4 linked regions of the Sus scrofa genome follow. The protein of the gene in region 3 purifies or fractionates together with the protein of the main gene of each other region. This does not show direct contact. Links are inferred from orthologs where the notes say so. Each region holds a gene or a part of one and is shown on either strand. Other genes may lie near its edges.

Region 1 (3,989 bases), on a different chromosome or scaffold from region 3:
TGAATTTCCTACTAGACCTTACAGATCTACCCTCAGCAACAGTACTAGTCAGTCCTAATGAGCCGCCTTGAACAGGGGGCAAAGAGGCATGTCCATTAACCAACTAAAATGCTATTACAAAATGAAAGGCGCTAGCATCATTCTTTTCAGCATCTATCTCATTTCTTACGTAATAATTGGAAGTAATGGCAATTACCTCAAACATGCCAAGAAGCTTATCAAACTACCTGTTTTTTCAAATTACTGCGTCAAGATTGTTTTCTGAAAACCTCAAAATTCAAAAGCAACATCGCTTTGAAATTACCTGAAATGTCTGCATTTTGTATCTGCATTTGTTTCCCCGGAAATCACTTTAAAAACTAAGTCACCATATCAAGGTAAATGTAAGTTTTTAATTGTTTTCACAGAATTTACCATTAATGTAACAGTATCGAATTAACAAGTATTCTCAAACACATGCCTTTGTTTTTGTTTTATAACCAGTTGCAGGTGGTCACCTCCTTATCCCAGCAATGTGACCAATGAAAAGACCACTGGGGTGTAAGTTGAGAGACAATTTTCCACTATAACATTAATCATTCCTGGCCCTAAATATATTGTAAAAGAGAAGACACGACTAGCTGTTCTCTAAGAGTCCCTCTACGCTAAAGCTAAATGATTCAATAATAATTTTGCTGATATTAATATATCATCTATTTGTTGATACAAGATTGTTCTCTTAGGAGAAAAGCGGAAAGGTGGGGGAACATAAATCTGGCGGGGGGAAACAAGGAAAACCAAAGTTTTAAGGAATGCAGAAAAGTTCAAATTTCAATTGGAACCCAGATCTAAAGTTAGTAACACTGATGTGTTTAAACATCCCTTCCTTGGAAGTTCCCCTGAGATGCAGCAGCTTAAGGATTCCTCGCTGCTGCAGCAGTGGCACAGGTTCGATTCCTGGCCGGGGCATTTCCACATACCATGGGTGTGGCCAAAAAAAAAAAAAAGGAGTTAATATTCCTTCAAGCAAATAATTTAACTTGTTACTGTGACCTGGCCAAAACAAAACGATAGTTGTTTGCAATTCTTATACTTCTAATATTACAAATATACAAAGTATGATGTAGATGTGAGCGCAGTGTAACTTTGTTAGAAATTCTAAAACTTACACTACCATGATTTTACCAGCAAAATATATATATATATATATATGTATACCACTGAAGTAACAGTGGTCAAGTCTTCATGTTTCACCTATTAAAAAGTCTAAGTTGCAACTTCTTTATATAAACTAATTGTTTGTTACCAAACCTATCCATGCAATATGGCTGCCCTCATGTTCCCTGGATACTTACACATGGCACTGAAGGCAAACAGCAGGTTTCCTTTCTTTGAGTAATTTGAGTTGTCTATTTTTGGAAAAACTCTTTTTCTTGTGGGACCAAAAAAAAAAAAAAAAAAAATTGTAACTACACTACTGCGGAGAAGCAATAAAACCATTAGCACAAATCTAATCTATCATCCGGATGCAACGAGCCTGGCATTAGTTAGGACTGGCCCGGATCGATGACGGTGTTTGGGTTATTTCTGTTGAAATTATTAACGTGTATACAGCACAGGCCCATCATTCAGGCCCGCCAACTGCGTTGACCTTCTCGTTGAGGACTTCTTAAATGACCACACGAAAATCTGAATTTACAAGTTTGATAACAACTAAGCGTGCATCAACGATACTTAAAACAGTTCCAAAAAAAAAGTTTTCCACTAATGTCGCTAAACCATGGATGGATCCCACCACGAGAGTCGTCTGTGGAAGTCTCGTAACAAGAAACCGTTAGCTCCACCACCTAAGTTTCCAATCACTGAGAAGGGTCTGGGGCAACTCATCTTCAGGTTCACGGGAGAAGTGGAGCACACCTGCTTTCCTCTGGCAGAGATTAAGCTCCCAGGGACCCAAAGGCCAGGGAATCAGACCTGGAGAAGCAAAAAGCTTTAGCTGGACACCCACCGAGCCCCTGGCCACCCAAACGCTTCGAGCGATTTACCTCTTGCGCCTACTGCCCGGGCACCGGGCGGCTGAGGAGCTCGCGGGGCAGGGGGCGGGAGCGCCCCGCGGCCCCGAGCCCCCGGTAGGGGCGGGGTGTGGACCCTCCTCGCCGGAGCCTGCGCCGCCGGCCAGCGCCGGGCCGCCCCGCGGCTCGGACATCGCAATGGCGCCCGCCCGGCGCCCCGGGCCGCCCGGCCTCGGCCCCTTCCCCCCGCCGCTCACTGGCTGCTCGGCTGCATGTGACTAAACAAAACCCCCGAGCCCCGTGCCCGGCTCAGCCCCTTTGTGTCCGCTCCCAGGTCCGCCGCCGCCGCCGCCGCCGAGGAGCCTCCCCCGCCCCCCGGCCCCGGCGAGGCCCGCCCCGCGGCGGCGGCCGCCGCTCACCTCGGGCTCCGCCGCCCCCCGCGGCCGCCGCGGCCGCCGCCTCCCCGAACCCGGGGCCCGGGCTCCTTGTGCGGCACCAACTCCGCCTCCTCGGCCGCCGCCGCCATCTTAGCCTGTGCGGCAAGACGCGTCCTGCGGAGGCTGGGGACCGGCCCGGGGCGGCGCTGCCCGGGCCCGCGCGCCGCGGCCCGGCGCCCCCGCGTCCTGCCGCCCCCCAGGCCCGCCGCCGCCGCGGCCCGCGCGCCCGGAGCCCACGCGGGGCCCGGCGAGCCCGACCGAAGGAGCCCCGAAACTCACAGTTTGGTGCCGTGTGCGTCAAACCGGGGCGACGTTGGGAGCGCGCGGCGTCCCCGCGTCACGCGCCGCTCTGTACGCTCGGCGGCTCCGACGGCCCCCCTGCGCGCCCCGCTTCTGCCGCCGGCCCGGGGCCCACGGCGCACGCGCGCCGCTTTCCCGCCTCGCCCCGAGCCGCGGGCCCGGGGACGGCCGGCGACGAGCTCGCGGGCGGCTTCGCGCGGCCGCGGCGCCTGGGCCGCGGGCACCGACGGGGGCGGCGGCAACAGTGCACCACTGTTCTCGGGTGCCAGGAGCCCAACAAGGTCACCTCCCCCTGCGCTGACCTCATCGCTCTCAAGGAGGTCCCCGCCCCAAAGTAGGCACGCTCCAAATATGGTGGTGCCCAAACTCTGCAAGACCCAAGCACTCAGGCAGGCCGAGGCCCTTTAAGGTGGAGCAGGCCCGGGTCTGAGTTCCACAGCCACGAGCGTGCCACCCTTCCGTCTCTTTCCCTGCTGTGGGGGAGAACAGCTGAGGACCTCCAGAGCGCCCGTCACAGCCGTAGAGTGACGGCAGAGCAGGGTTTCTGGCTCTCAAGGGCCCCGTTACTGGGAGATGCTGGATGGACAAGCGGAGCATCCAGGGTAGCATCTCAGGTCACGGGACAGCCCCTCCAAAAAAGGCGCCCTGGGTTTGGTCCAGCTCCATTCTGGGAGGATCCTTTCTCCTTGCATTACTGACTGTGCTGTGCATCTCCAAGTTAGTTATGTAAGAAGCACCTGAGATACTGGTTAATCCCTCAAAGAATTCGTAGGGCCTGGGAGAGTTCTAGAAAACTTTTTAAACACGTATCCACCGGAGAGTCTGAGGCCAGCGTTTCGTGGACCACTTTGAGAAACACTGATGAGGCGCTATTGGCTTTGCTTTTAAACTGGCAAACAGGAAGTTGCTAACATGTTTGACATGAACCCAAAGTTCCTGAGGACTCTGCTAATCCTGCCCTAATAAATTCTTTGTCTATTCTGAATCTCTGTTTTCTTATCCAAAAAAAGGTCTTCGGTTATTTTGCAGCTATCATGAAACCTTCAAGACATGATTGGCATTCCGAGGCATACACGGTAATTGCAGTCATTTGTCAAGAATGAGATGGGGACTTCATCATTATCAGCAAACAGATTCCCGAATGACAAGTATTTATTCTTGCTGCATTAGTTAAAAATAATAGTTTCCAGTGCTTACCATGCACCAGGCATTGTTCTGACACATTCAACTTCATTACAGCCTAATGAGGCAGAGAGAAGTT
Region 2 (4,077 bases), on a different chromosome or scaffold from region 3:
ACATAAGATGCAATCAATGTTTAAACTGCAAGAAATGGTAAAAATCTTAATGAAAGTTTTCTTTTACCCAATGAAACAATGATCATGCTCTATCTGAACAGATAATCATAAGGACTCAGTGATCCACTTTACCAAGGACACTTCCTAAACATTCATCTTCTCCCTCTGATTTCCAATTGGCAAAAAACAAAATATTTTGACAAGATAATCAACTCTACGATGTCTCATTTTTTATTTTCATTTATTTATTTACTTGTGGTCTTTTGTCCTTTTTTTAGGGCTGCACCCATGGCATATGGAAGTTCCCAGACTAGGGGACGAATCAGAGCTACAGCCTCTGGCCCATGCCAAAGCCACAGCAACATGGGACTCAGGCAGAATCTTCAACCTACACCACAGTTCACTGCAACACTGGATCCCTAACCCACTGCTCGAAGCCAGGGATCGAACCTGCATCCTCATGGATCCTAGTTGGGCCCGTTAACCACTGATCCGTGAAAGGAACTCCCAGATAAATGGTTTCCAAGTGGAGATTTTGCACCCCTCCCTCCCAGGACAATTGGGAAAACTTTGATTGTCACAAGTGGGGGTATGGGGAGGTGAAATGCACTTACTAGGCTCAAAATGTAAATAGCACTGAAGCTGAGAAACCCTACAGATCAAGATTGTATTCCTTTCAAATTTAAATAAATTAGGGACAGAAATTCTTAATCTATATCACTTCAGTTCTTATAAACCAAGTAGCTACACTATTAGCATACCTATAGTTTATACGCAAATATGAAACAGATTTTCCATTTCAAGTATCAGAAAACATGAAAATCTGTTCAGGATAAGCTCAGCTAAAAATCATCCTTTTGCACAGTGTTACAAAGATCTCTAATCATAACAGAACTTCTTCATGTGTATTTGAACTTACTACAGTATTTAAACAACTGTCCCTTGATACTAAATAAGGCAGTTAATAACAGAGGAGTATAGGAATTCTCTTATGAGGCAGTAGGTTAAGGATCCAGAATCACCACTGCAGCAGCCTGGATCACTGCTGTGGTGCACGTTAGATCCCCAGCCCAGGAACTTCCTTATGCCACAGGTGCGGCCAAAAAAGGGGGAGGGGCAGTATAGACTCTCATACAGTCAAAACGTAATGAAAATTTCTATGGTTTACTAAAACATAGTGGAATGAGTAGAACAAGCATTACTAACAGGATATGGACTGCACAGGAAATACTTTGAAATTCTATAATCAAAAGGCAAAAAATAACCCAGGTGATGGATGGGTTCCGTCTCCAGCACCCTAAGTATCACCCTCCTTAAGCAACTTCCTTTTTATCCAAATCCAGATATCCTTAAAGGAACAGCAGAAAGAAGGCCTAAGAAGATCTGTAACAATGTAAAGAGATATATATATATGGAGGAGAAAGTTCCTCAGAGCAGAGCCTAAGATAAAGGAATTGGACAATGCTTGTAAAGCACTTAACATCATGACTATCAGTACTCAAAAAAAAAAATTATCTTTTTAAAATTTGTTTGTTTAAACCAAGAATCGCTTTAGTTCTTAACTGAAAAACAGCACCTTTTTGAGGTGTAAGGAGGTGGTGAGAAGTACTTGACTATAACTGAAAACACAAAAACAACGAGCTTTTAAATTTATTTTTAATTACAAATTATTATCCCTGCAAAAATGTAAACACTGGAGATGCGATGTGTCTCCAACCCACTGTATCCCTAGAGGTTAACATATTTTGCTATGCAGTTTTCCGAAACATTTCCTATGGGTTCACAAATATTTCTTTGTCTGTGGAAATATGCATTACTGTTATTTTGTAGACTCTTCTTGGGTGCTATTCCACAACAGTACAAATAAATTCTATTTGTTCTAACATTTCAAGGCAGTCTTCCTAAAGAAGCGAGTTTTCCAGTCATGTCTTTGACATCCCTTGTTCCCCTCCAAAACCTAAAGTGCTGGATGGTGAGATATACCGTTGTGGGGGGGAAAGAGCCAAAACCGAGGAATACAGGACCAAACTTAACAGCTTTCCTACCAGAGAAGTGTGGCACGGAGGCCCACAGGTTTTGTTAAAGTCATTGTGAATAAAATAGCCCCTACGCGCCATCACAGGCATTGAATCCCCTTCCTCGCATCCCCAAATCTAAGACCTCCCTCTTTTGGAGCGCTGATTGGACGAACAGCCTGAGCGCTTTCCAGAGGCTGCTCGCCTACTGGCTCCCGATTTGGTCCATCCACCTAACCGCCCAACTCCCGCATCCCCCATTGGAGTCAAATCGTGGCCTCTTGGAGGAGCCCAACCTACCGCGCGCTTCGTGCTCATTGGCTCAGTGAGATGCTGCTCAGGAGGAGAAAGCCCGCCTCCCACATACCGATGGCCCAAGGACCGATGAGTCGGCAGCTAAGGACAGCCCCAATTGGCCTATACACTCGCCAGTCAAACTCTTCCGCTGCAAAGCTCCACAGAACCTACGGGGATAAAACATCCCGCCCCCGTTCTTCCATTGGTTGGCCGATCTCACCGCTCCCCCTTCACGAGCCCCCACCCCGAGGTCCATTCATTTCACACAATAACGGGCCCAGTTGGAGTCAGTTCAAGACCTCGTATGGGTAGGCAAGATGGTCCGCCACTTACCGGGGGTCGAGACCGATCACTCACGCTAACGCCTCGCCTGTTCCTCTGTGGTGCGGCCGGACCACAAGCCACCGCCGCCGCCGCCTTCTGCGCAACGCCAACCGCCCGCCAAAACGGATCCTTCCCTGCGCCTGCGCGACCAATCCTGGGACCCGACCCTTTCCCCGCCCATTACGCCTGCGCAAAAGGGGGCACAACTCCCGCCACTACGCAGGCGCCTTAGGTTCGCCGCTGTCTCCTGCCCGCCATTTCACGTGTTGCAAGCTCCGGGCGGAACTTCTTAGCGCGCCTGCGTAAACTCGCCATTTTACTACACATGCGCTCAGCAGGCGATCTTGCCCCCGCCCCCGTTCCGCCAAATTGTCACATGCTAGCTACTTTTTTGATACATAGTATTAAAAATGCTTTGACACAGGCGTTGAATATTCCGGACATAGCTAATTAAAAAGTTATCTCAATACCCGAAATAATTCAAATATGAATCATTGGTTGACCAGCCAATCAGTCTAGTTAAGAATAATATTACTTAGGAACCAATGGACCGGGAGGGGTTGAGACTGCGTAGAACGCCCAAACGGATGACGTTACACAGCAACGCATACGAGAGACCAATAGTGGGGGAAAGCTATGTCAAATATCCAATCAGAGCTACTCAGGGGCGGAGTCTACCAATGCCGAACGCGAGGAGGCGGGATAAAAAAGCGAGGCCGAAGGTAGGCTGGCAGACTCGTTCGTTAGATTACTCCTTTCTGCCCCCGGACGCCGCCGAGTAAGCATCGTTGTAACCTCCTCCCCACTACCGTCATGTCTAAGTCAGAGGTGAGTGAGACTCTTTTTTCATCTGCGTTTTCTTCTTCGCCGCTTGCTGAGTTTGGTAGGGTGCAGTCTGGTTTGGCTGCTTGCACCAGCCTTTTCGGCAGTTCTTCGGTCGCTGCCGGGGCCTACCCCTCCCTGAGTTCAGGTCGCCATTTTGTCCTCGTCGCCATGAGGCTGTCGTCGTGCAATCCTTGGTTATCACGCTGCTCTCGTTCTTTTTTGCAATGCTCGTGGACACATTCGGTCTGTTTTTCATCCTTGTCCTAGTGGACGACTTTCTTAAAGAGTAGCTGTAGTCCAATTTTGGCGATGCACGCCCTCCCAGTCCTTTTGTTGCGCGTGCGTCGTAGGGAGAGTAAGGGGCGCATGCGCTCGCCGCTTCCCAGCCCCCAACATACCGCCTCCCCAGATGGGGAGAAGCACGTGGCTTACAGCGACCCGAGGGAACAATAAAAGCTTCGTACGTTGCTACCTGGTGTTGCTTCTTGTAGCGGGGAGCTTGTTTGCGTTATAGCCCTATTTAACGCTTTTTTTGCCCCTACTTCTAGTCTCCCAAAGAGCCCGAACAGCTGCGGAAGCTCTTCATCGGAGGTTTGAGCTTTGAAACAACCGATGA
Region 3 (3,961 bases):
TGATTTTCAAATAGCCACTCAGCATCAAAATCCATCTCATGCTTAACTTTGTTTAATTCTTTCATGTTGAAGCCCAGCAGCACACCAGGCTTATACTTCTCACAGTCTCGGACACACTTCTTTCTCTTGTTACTAAAATGGGAAGCAATGTCACTCTTCCACAACCACAAACTGGCTGCCAGCTTCTCAATTTCTCTCCTGGTGGGATAGGGCTGTTTGTTGAAATATTTTGTTAGGAAGCTTTTCCTGGCTTCATAGGAATCATCTTCATGACCCTTGGGGTCTAAAGCTAAAACAACAGGTTCCTCAGGCTTCTCCTCAAAGAAGCTGGGTGAATCGCTATCATCATCTAATTTTCGCTTTTTTACCAAGGGAAATTCCATCTGCTCATAAGTGCGCTTCACAGGTGCCAGGCCTGGTGACTGGTTGAGCCGAGAGGGTGCATTTGTCTTGTCTTGGCCATTCTGGGTCTTTCCAACACCCCTGCAGTGGACTAGATGCAGAGTGATAGTCGAGGCGGTCATGTTGCTGGTATACACACCAAGGCAGTGGATGCATTTGTAGGTGAGCTTCTTCTCCACCGGGTGAACGGTCTGAATCACTTGGTGTCTTTCTCGTAAGTGATGTGCAAGTGCATCGGATATGGGTCCTTTGAGGATTGAAAAGCAAAGAGGGCAAAGGGTTTTCCCGACATCTTTTTTATAGGGCACTGCAGCTTGAGGTGAACTTTTAACAGGGATATCTGCCTTTTCCTGAACTTTTGGCTGTGGCTTTGGAGGGACTGGAGGGTTGTTTTGGGCATGGTAAGCAACAGACTCGGCGGGGGCATCTCTCAGGTTGTATGTGGTTACCAGGAGATGGATGTTAGTGTGACTACCCTGCTGCAATGTCAAATCAAAACTCAGCGTGGAATCTGTTTTGGGTCCCATCTCTTCGTCAATGTGAACCATCCGCATGTGTGCCGCCATCTTTTCCACGTCATTGAAAGTTGAACGGCAATATGGACAAGACAGACCATGAATTAACATATGGTTGAGCAGAGTATCTGTGGGCAAATAGCGATTGCAATAGAGGCATTTGCTAGTGAAATTGTGTATTTTCATAATGTAGTTGGCTACTGCTGGGACTTTCTCAGCTTTATGTTCTTTCTCGAAGTGCACACTATAGACATTCTCAGGAAAAAGCTCATTGCAGATTGTACATATCTTCCACTTCTGAGTTGAGGACGTATTGGGCGGGGGAGGGCCAGTGGCAGCTGCGGTAGGTTTGGAACTGGACTGACCTAATACTCTGGATGCCTGTGACTGGGCGAGGGCAGGAGACTTTAAGGGGCCTGATGAGAGAGAAGAGGCGTTTGCAGACTGCAGTGAGTATCTTGCTGGTGCCTGGGTCCTCTGCTCTGACCCAAGCCCATAAGATCTTCCATTTCCACTTGGAAGTAACTGCTTCACTGACTGAGACTGCTGAGGGATGGAAACGGGTGCATTGCCACCCAGACCCAGTCTCATTGACTGACCAACGCCATAGCCCTGGCCCACTGATTTGACTCCATAGTTGTTCTGCTGGAGATGAACATTGGACATCATGTTGACTCCTGTGGAATTTAAGTTAGGCTTTGGTATTGAGAGTCTATTCACCATCTGCTGGGATGGCAAAGATCGGACGTTTCCAGAAGCGAGGGAACCAATTCTTGATTGGAGTCCCAGGCCCTTCTTCTCTTGAGGTTTGGGAGCAATCAGCATCAAAGGTTTGGATCGGGGGACCACCACATTTGTGTGCCCAATCATGGCAGTGACCTGATAGCCTATGCGTTCATGGTCTTCAATGACATGCTGTACCAAAGCTTCGTAGGACTTTGGCATGAAAAGGCATCGCTTGCAGTGAATACTACTTTCTTCCCGGGCGTTTGAGCCTAAGGGGACTGCACCATTGAGTGATTTTTCACCTGCCTTTGCTATGTAAGGTGCTGCCACATGCTGAAAATGTTCCCTGTAAATGTGCTTCCTAACTATTTCATAAAGAGGATCTCGGTAAGTGCACTTCTTACAGTAATAAACAGCTTGCTCTACACTGTCAGCCTGCTTAGGTTTAAGGCCATCGTTTTTGCTTTTATCTTTGAAAGTGCTGAGGCTGCTACTTGGTGCGCTGGCGTTTGGAGCATGAAATATTTTAATGTGTGTTTCCAAAGTCTTTTTGTCTGCATTGAAGGTACAGTAGGGGCAATTAAGGAGAATCCTATTTTCAAAGTCTTCACTATGGACATTCCGGAAATGACTTTTGTAGGCAGAGAAAAATTTTGAAGAAAATGGGCAAGCGCTGCAGCAAAAAGGTTTTGTCCGATAGTCCTAAAGAAAAGAGAAAAAGTGGAAGGAGAATGTTACTTCAGATAGGTAATAACAGGTTCTAGGCTCCCCCCCGAAGAATCTTTTCTTTTTAAGAGACACCATGCTGGTTTTAGAACTGAAACTCTGTAATGCACAGATTAGAATATAGTTTTTTTTTTCCTTTTGCAAAATGCAAAATGAATTTATGGAATATAAACTCAAAAGAGGAAGCTGTTTTAAACTAAACACTTGCTTTGGCATCCCCATTGTAGAAATAGAAACTCCATTCTAAGTTCTTCCTCAGTGTTTTAAGAAAAGACCAGAGTCACATTGTTTTTTGGTTTTAGACAAACTCAAGACCCAGGGCTTCAAGATGGACAATTCATGGTTATGAAGGACAAGAATAAGCTAGGTGCAATCACTTTCACTCTGCAAATCGTTAAGCTGCTGAAGGCTTCAGATTGACTGTATAGTAAAATTTAAGGCCCAGAGTGTTGGAGTGCAATTAGGCAATAGGATACACACCTTTGATCCTCCCCATTACGGAAAAATTTCCATAGAAAAAAAGGCACTTCTTCGAAAATCTCAAAACTTTTTTCCCCTCTGATCGAAGAAGACTGTAGTCAGATTTCACTGTAGATCAAAACACTGATTTGAGAAGTCAGCTTTCTTCTATAAGCTAATAAGCTCTTCCTTTTCAAGAGCAGCTTCAAAAGAAGTAATGAAGTGATAGCTGCTTTGATTCAAATTAATAAGTTAAATACAAATTTCCTACAGACTGTGAGGAGTGCAAGGTGTTAAAAAACTAGCGAGGTATCAAAGAGCAACTTACACAACTACACTCATTAACATTTGTGCACTTGGTCCTCTGAAGCACAAGTTTGGTAAAAGGTTATCATTTTTCCCCTAGAAACCTACTTTGTTTCAGATATTGAGTTGAAACACTCTGCTTTTCCTTAAAGTGTGACCCTTCTTGAGTATTTATAAAACAATTAACTAAATGATGTGTCCCACTGGAAAGCTTTCCATATTTTAAGACTGCTAGTTAATACCCTTCCCTGGGGTATTGATAAGAAAGAACCAGATGACCACATAATCAAATTTCTGCGGTGTAGTTTAATCTAGAATGACAATCACTACTGAAATAGATGATGGTACAGTTTGAACTGATAATCACTCTTTGTGGAAAAAGACACCTCACTTATTTTTGTTGTATCACCACTTTCTGATGTTTGTTGGCATATTGTGCCTTGGATCATCTACTATTGTTTTTAATTCCACTCTGCCATCCTAGAGAGCCACCTATCCCATCCTTCACTTGCTGGTTCAGGTCACTCTATAGAGGCTAGGTGACAGCACAGATCAATAAGAAAAGTTAAACGAAAAAAAAAAAAAAAAAAAAAAAAAAAAAAGGGAGTTCCCGTCGTGGCGCAGTGGTTAACGAATCCGACTAGGAACCATGAGGTTGCGGGTTCGGTCCCTGCCCTTGCTCAGTGGGTTAATGATCCGGCGTTGCCGTGAGCTGGGGTGTAGGTCACAGACGCGGCTCGGGATCCCACGATGCTGTGGCTCTGGCGTAGGCCGGTGGCTACAGCTCTGATTTGACCCCTAGCCTGGGAACCTCCATATGGCGCGGG
Region 4 (4,136 bases), on a different chromosome or scaffold from region 3:
CCTTGGAAGTGGTCGAGCACTCCTGGGAGGCCATCCCACTAGGGCCCTTCGGGGGACAAAGGAGTTTCTCTAAGGAATCCCTTGCCCCCTTGAGGGACTGGTTCTTGCATCCCTTCTGCACACTCCGCCATCAGTCCCAAGGACTCCCTCCTGGCCAGTGCAGGGGAAGGACAGGGTCTCTCTCAAGGGTGTGGCCCTTCCATACCTCGCCAGAATCCAAGGAGGCTTTGGGGGGTTCTGCAGAGTGGGCAGAGGTGGCCTGGGGGAGCCGAGCCCTTCTCTTCTGTCTCTCGCCCTCCTCACTCTTGTCTTGCATCATTGCATATTTGGAGATGACCTCATCCAGTCGGCTCATAGCCAAGCTCCGGTTCTCCCGCAGGCGCCGGGCTAGGACAGGATCTGACAGGGCAGGATCGACACCTGCATGGGAAGACATAGGTCAGAGCACTCACCCAGAATCCTAGAAGGAGGGACTCCAGAGAGCTTCCTCCAGCATAGGCCAACACACCAAGGGACTGGGGAGACCCTGCTAAGGCCTACCTGGCCTGTAGTCGTCTGTGAGGTGACAGCCGAAGTTGTAGATGAGATCGAGGTGGCGACGTTCCTGCAACCTGATGCCCACATCTCGGAAGGCATCCTGAGCCATGAGCTGGAGCTGCTGTCGGGGGAGGCCAAGGCTGTGCCGAGCAGCTGCCTTCTCGACAGCCCGAAGTACGTCTCCATAGTCAGGGAAGGTATCAGGCCCTGGCTTGTTGATGAGCCGCTCGATGCGCCTGTTCACCTCCGGGTAGCGGGTGCCCCGGTAGGGGATGCGCTGCTCTATGACCCGGCCCGTCAGAGAAGAGCATTCTTTGAGCTCACACAGCCGCCCAAAGAGGCGGATCAGCTTACGCTTCAGTCTGGCCTCCTGCAGGTAAGTGGAGTCCGGGTCGTCCAGTTCTGAGAGATCCAGCTCCTTTTCCTGCAGCCGCCGGATCTCTGCCACATAGAGCGCAAGAAGCTGCTCCAAGCGCTGGATCTGCCGCCGGGAACCACGGGTCCTTGGGGCCTCAGAGGCAGTGGTCTCAGCATTTATGGGGTCCGAGGAGGGGCCTGTGGGGGGGTCATTCCCGGAGGGCTCACTAGAGGTGGTGGCAGCAGGGGCCAGGTTCATCTTCTTCTTGGCCGAGTTGGCCTTGAGAACAGTGCAGAGCTCGTTAATGTAGACATAGAGCTTGGCGGGCCGGCTCTGAGCCCGGGAAAGGACCCGAGAGAGGATGTTGTGGAACTCCGCCGAGGCCAAAAACAGTGAGTGGGCCCGCTGCTGCCGGCTAGAGAGGAACGGGACCACCTCAGGGTGGTCTGCTGTCTGCCTCCTACACAGTTCAAGGAACTGGAAGGTTCACGGGGAAAGGGACAAGGGATGGGTTGAGAGAAAGAAGGCGAGGTGGGGTTAGTGGGGAAGACAAGACAAGAGAGCCAGTCGGCCAGCCCCCTCCCTGGAGTACAAGAATCCTCTCCCCTAAAGCTCACCTCTTTAAACAGCTTCTCATTCTCCAACTTGTAGCATTTCTTGCCGCCCGAACTACTGCCTCCTCCAGCCCCATGGGGCTGGGAGGAGCCAGGGGCTTCTGCCCTGGGTGAGGCTGGAATGGGGGCTGCCCTGGGTGAGGCTGGGTTGGGGGGTGGGTGGGAGGGCCCTGGCTGAGCAGCTGCTTCATCTTCGTCATCATCATCCAGCACGATGATGCTGTTAGCGGTGGCCATGGGGGATCAAATCCCCCGGAGGGAGGAAGTGGTGGGGTTTTCGTGATTCCTGCTGGAAGGGGACGGGGCCTCAGAAAGAGCCCCTCCAGCAGAGCCCCATCCCTTCATCTCACACATTTTTGTCTTCTTGGTTTTCAAAAACACCCAGCCATGCCCAACAGTGTCCTCACTGCCTGTCTTCAGCAACCATTAGTACCGTGTTTTTCTGTCCCTTTACTACGAGAGCCCCAAACCCTCGGAAAACCTGAAGTCCCACCCCCAGCTCCACCCCTCACGTCGACATCCGGTCTTTCGGTTGCATTTCCCCACTATTTCTCATAGGTGGCAAGTTGATTCTTCTCAACCCCGGACCACCTCTCACACTGCACTCCAGATTTCCTCGACACCCCCTGGAACAGATACCACACCCTCGTTGGCACCACCTCCCCGTGTCCCCCTTCCGCTCTCCCACAGGTTCGCCCCGTCCTGTAGGATCACCCCAACTCCCAGCCTCTCCGAGGCGAGGGTTGGTCCTCCCCACATCCACTCCCCTTTCTCCTGCCAAGACCACCTCCCTACCCCGCCCTCCGGTGGGTCTCCTCCAGCCGGGGCGGCAGTCGGAGATAGCTCGGCTCCAGTCCCCTCTCTCTCACACCAACCCGAGCCTCCCCATTCTCTCCGTGTGACCTGTAAGCGACCGTGGGCCCCACACTGGTCTCTCCTGCTTGCTCTCACACTCTAGTCCTGAGGCCGGCCCTGCCCCCGGAGGAGCTTCCCGCCAAGTCCCCCTCCCCCAGTTCAGCCCCCGGCCCCCCCACACCCCTTCAGGGATAGTAAGGAAGGTACCTCAGCCTGCCCCTCAGACTCAACGCCCAGGACTCCCGAGTACCTCGACCTCGACATTCCCGCCCCGCCTTCGCCCCCCGCACCGCCCGGCCCCACCTCAGAAACGGTCTCTCGAGGCGACACTCGCCGCGGATCTCAGAACCTCGCATGGTTCCCTCCGCCTTCCTTCCCCCTCCCACCGCAGGCCCTACTCCGGACCGGAAGCGGCGGAGTTTCCGCCTACAGGCTCCTGGGTGCGGCCATGTTGCCGTACGGATCCCAGTCTCCCCAGTGGCCGGAAGTGACAGTAGGCCCGCCTCCTCGAGCACCTCCAGTGCCGCCCACATAGTCTGAGGCGCCTTTCTCCCTGACCTGCAGGGGGCGGATTTGCGCCCCTCCATCCCCCATTCGGGGCCTCTCAAGGTACATGCGGGCCGCCATTTTCCCGTACGGCGTTGGCTACGCCCCGAGTGGGGGCGCGCCGCCAGTGAAGCTCTTTTCACCCGGTGCTTCTGCGACTCGGCCAATCAGAAGCTTCCCGCAGCCGGCCAACCGCCAGCGCGTCGCGTGCGGGGAGGACAGAGCCACCTTCCCAAGGGGGGGGGGGGGGGTACGGAACAGAGCAGCAAAGGAATTGAGCCCTCCGAGGCTGCACAGGGATGCACGGAATGGGGGGAGCCTCTTGAGAGGAAAATAAAACCTTTTCCATCCGCGGCGCTATTGACAAGCCCTCTGGCGCCGATTTCCTACCTGCCAGGTACCAGTTTCCCTGGCTTAATCGACTGTACCTGCCATTCCCTTCTATGGGCCCGCTCTCCTTTTCGCTGTCCAGCTGCTACTTCTACCGACAGGTGCCTACTTCGCCCAATTGCGAAGTCCTAACACGGGATACAAATGAGCACCACGAGCTGTACAAATGTGTTTTATTATTATTGTTATTGTTGCTGGTTTGCTTTCCACTACAGAACTATTGGCCAACCAAGTAGGTAGAATCTAGGTGGTTCTACGACGTCTTTTCTGGAGGAGGTCCCCGAGGCGGAGGCGATGATGGCCGGGAGGCCGGGCTTTGTCCAGAAGCTCCAGGGCCTGAGGACGGGCGTTGTGAGGAGGAGGAGGCTCTGAGGAGAATCTGCAGATTGCCGCTGTATGGACTGTGAGACGAAATGAGGCTCGTAAAAGGCCTCGGAGTCTCGTCTTTTCTTCTGGAAGTGCTGATGAAAGAACAAAAAGAGAAGAAACCAACTTTGACGCCCGCCTCGCCTGGACCCCCACCTAGCCCAGCTTTAGGGAAGCTGGAGGGACTCACGGAAGCAAAGCTGGGTCCAAAGGTGAACTTCTGGGGAAACCAAAAAGTTAACACCGGTCCAGTCGCTGAGTTTCCCACCTCTTGGATCCCTGCATACTCCACAAATGTTGGGCATCTTGCCACTTTATTTTCTTGTTGCACATTTAAAGATAAATTTTATTAAAATATAGCAGAAGAGTTTCCGTAGTGGCTCAGTGGTTAACAGACCCCACTAGTCCCCATGAGGTTCAATCCCTGGCCCCGCTCAGTGGGTTAAGGATCCGGCGTTGCCGTGAGCGGT

The links. Proteins that work in one complex are often made in the same cells at the same time.
Region 1: the proteins of ADNP (region 3) and ZNF644 purify together in Homo sapiens (affinity purification with mass spectrometry; 3 studies listed by BioGRID and IntAct, with this or other methods). This does not show direct contact. The link is inferred for Sus scrofa from reciprocal best matches to the Homo sapiens genes ADNP and ZNF644.
Region 2: the proteins of ADNP (region 3) and CBX5 purify together in Homo sapiens (affinity purification with mass spectrometry; 4 studies listed by BioGRID and IntAct, with this or other methods). This does not show direct contact. The link is inferred for Sus scrofa from reciprocal best matches to the Homo sapiens genes ADNP and CBX5.
Region 4: the proteins of ADNP (region 3) and DAXX purify together in Homo sapiens (affinity purification with mass spectrometry; 4 studies listed by BioGRID and IntAct, with this or other methods). This does not show direct contact. The link is inferred for Sus scrofa from reciprocal best matches to the Homo sapiens genes ADNP and DAXX.

Annotation. Positions count from the first base shown.
Region 1 is NC_010446.5:125,739,136-125,743,124, reverse strand, and holds the start of ZNF644 (zinc finger protein 644), read right to left. Parts: upstream 2,801-3,989; 5' UTR 2,708-2,800; intron 2,581-2,707; exon of another isoform or gene 2,411-2,580; intron 2,107-2,410; exon of another isoform or gene 1,335-2,106; intron 1-1,334.
Region 2 is NC_010447.5:19,481,728-19,485,804, forward strand, and holds the start of CBX5 (chromobox protein homolog 5), read right to left. Parts: upstream 2,801-4,077; 5' UTR 2,646-2,800; intron 2,480-2,645; exon of another isoform or gene 2,316-2,479; intron 1-2,315. Other genes in the region: HNRNPA1 (heterogeneous nuclear ribonucleoprotein A1), read left to right, coding at 3,450-3,464, 4,010-4,077. UniProt on the Homo sapiens protein: Component of heterochromatin that recognizes and binds histone H3 tails methylated at 'Lys-9' (H3K9me), leading to epigenetic repression. In contrast, it is excluded from chromatin when 'Tyr-41' of histone H3 is phosphorylated (H3Y41ph).
Region 3 is NC_010459.5:52,319,507-52,323,467, forward strand, and holds part of ADNP (activity-dependent neuroprotector homeobox protein), read right to left. Parts: intron 2,346-3,961; coding exon 1-2,345.
Region 4 is NC_010449.5:29,678,346-29,682,481, forward strand, and holds the start of DAXX (death domain-associated protein 6), read right to left. Parts: upstream 2,801-4,136; 5' UTR 2,668-2,800; intron 2,597-2,667; exon of another isoform or gene 2,572-2,596; intron 2,136-2,571; exon of another isoform or gene 1,799-2,135; 5' UTR 1,747-1,798; coding exon 1,513-1,746; intron 1,373-1,512; coding exon 541-1,372; intron 421-540; coding exon 206-420; intron 47-205; coding exon 1-46. UniProt on the Homo sapiens protein: Transcription corepressor known to repress transcriptional potential of several sumoylated transcription factors. Down-regulates basal and activated transcription.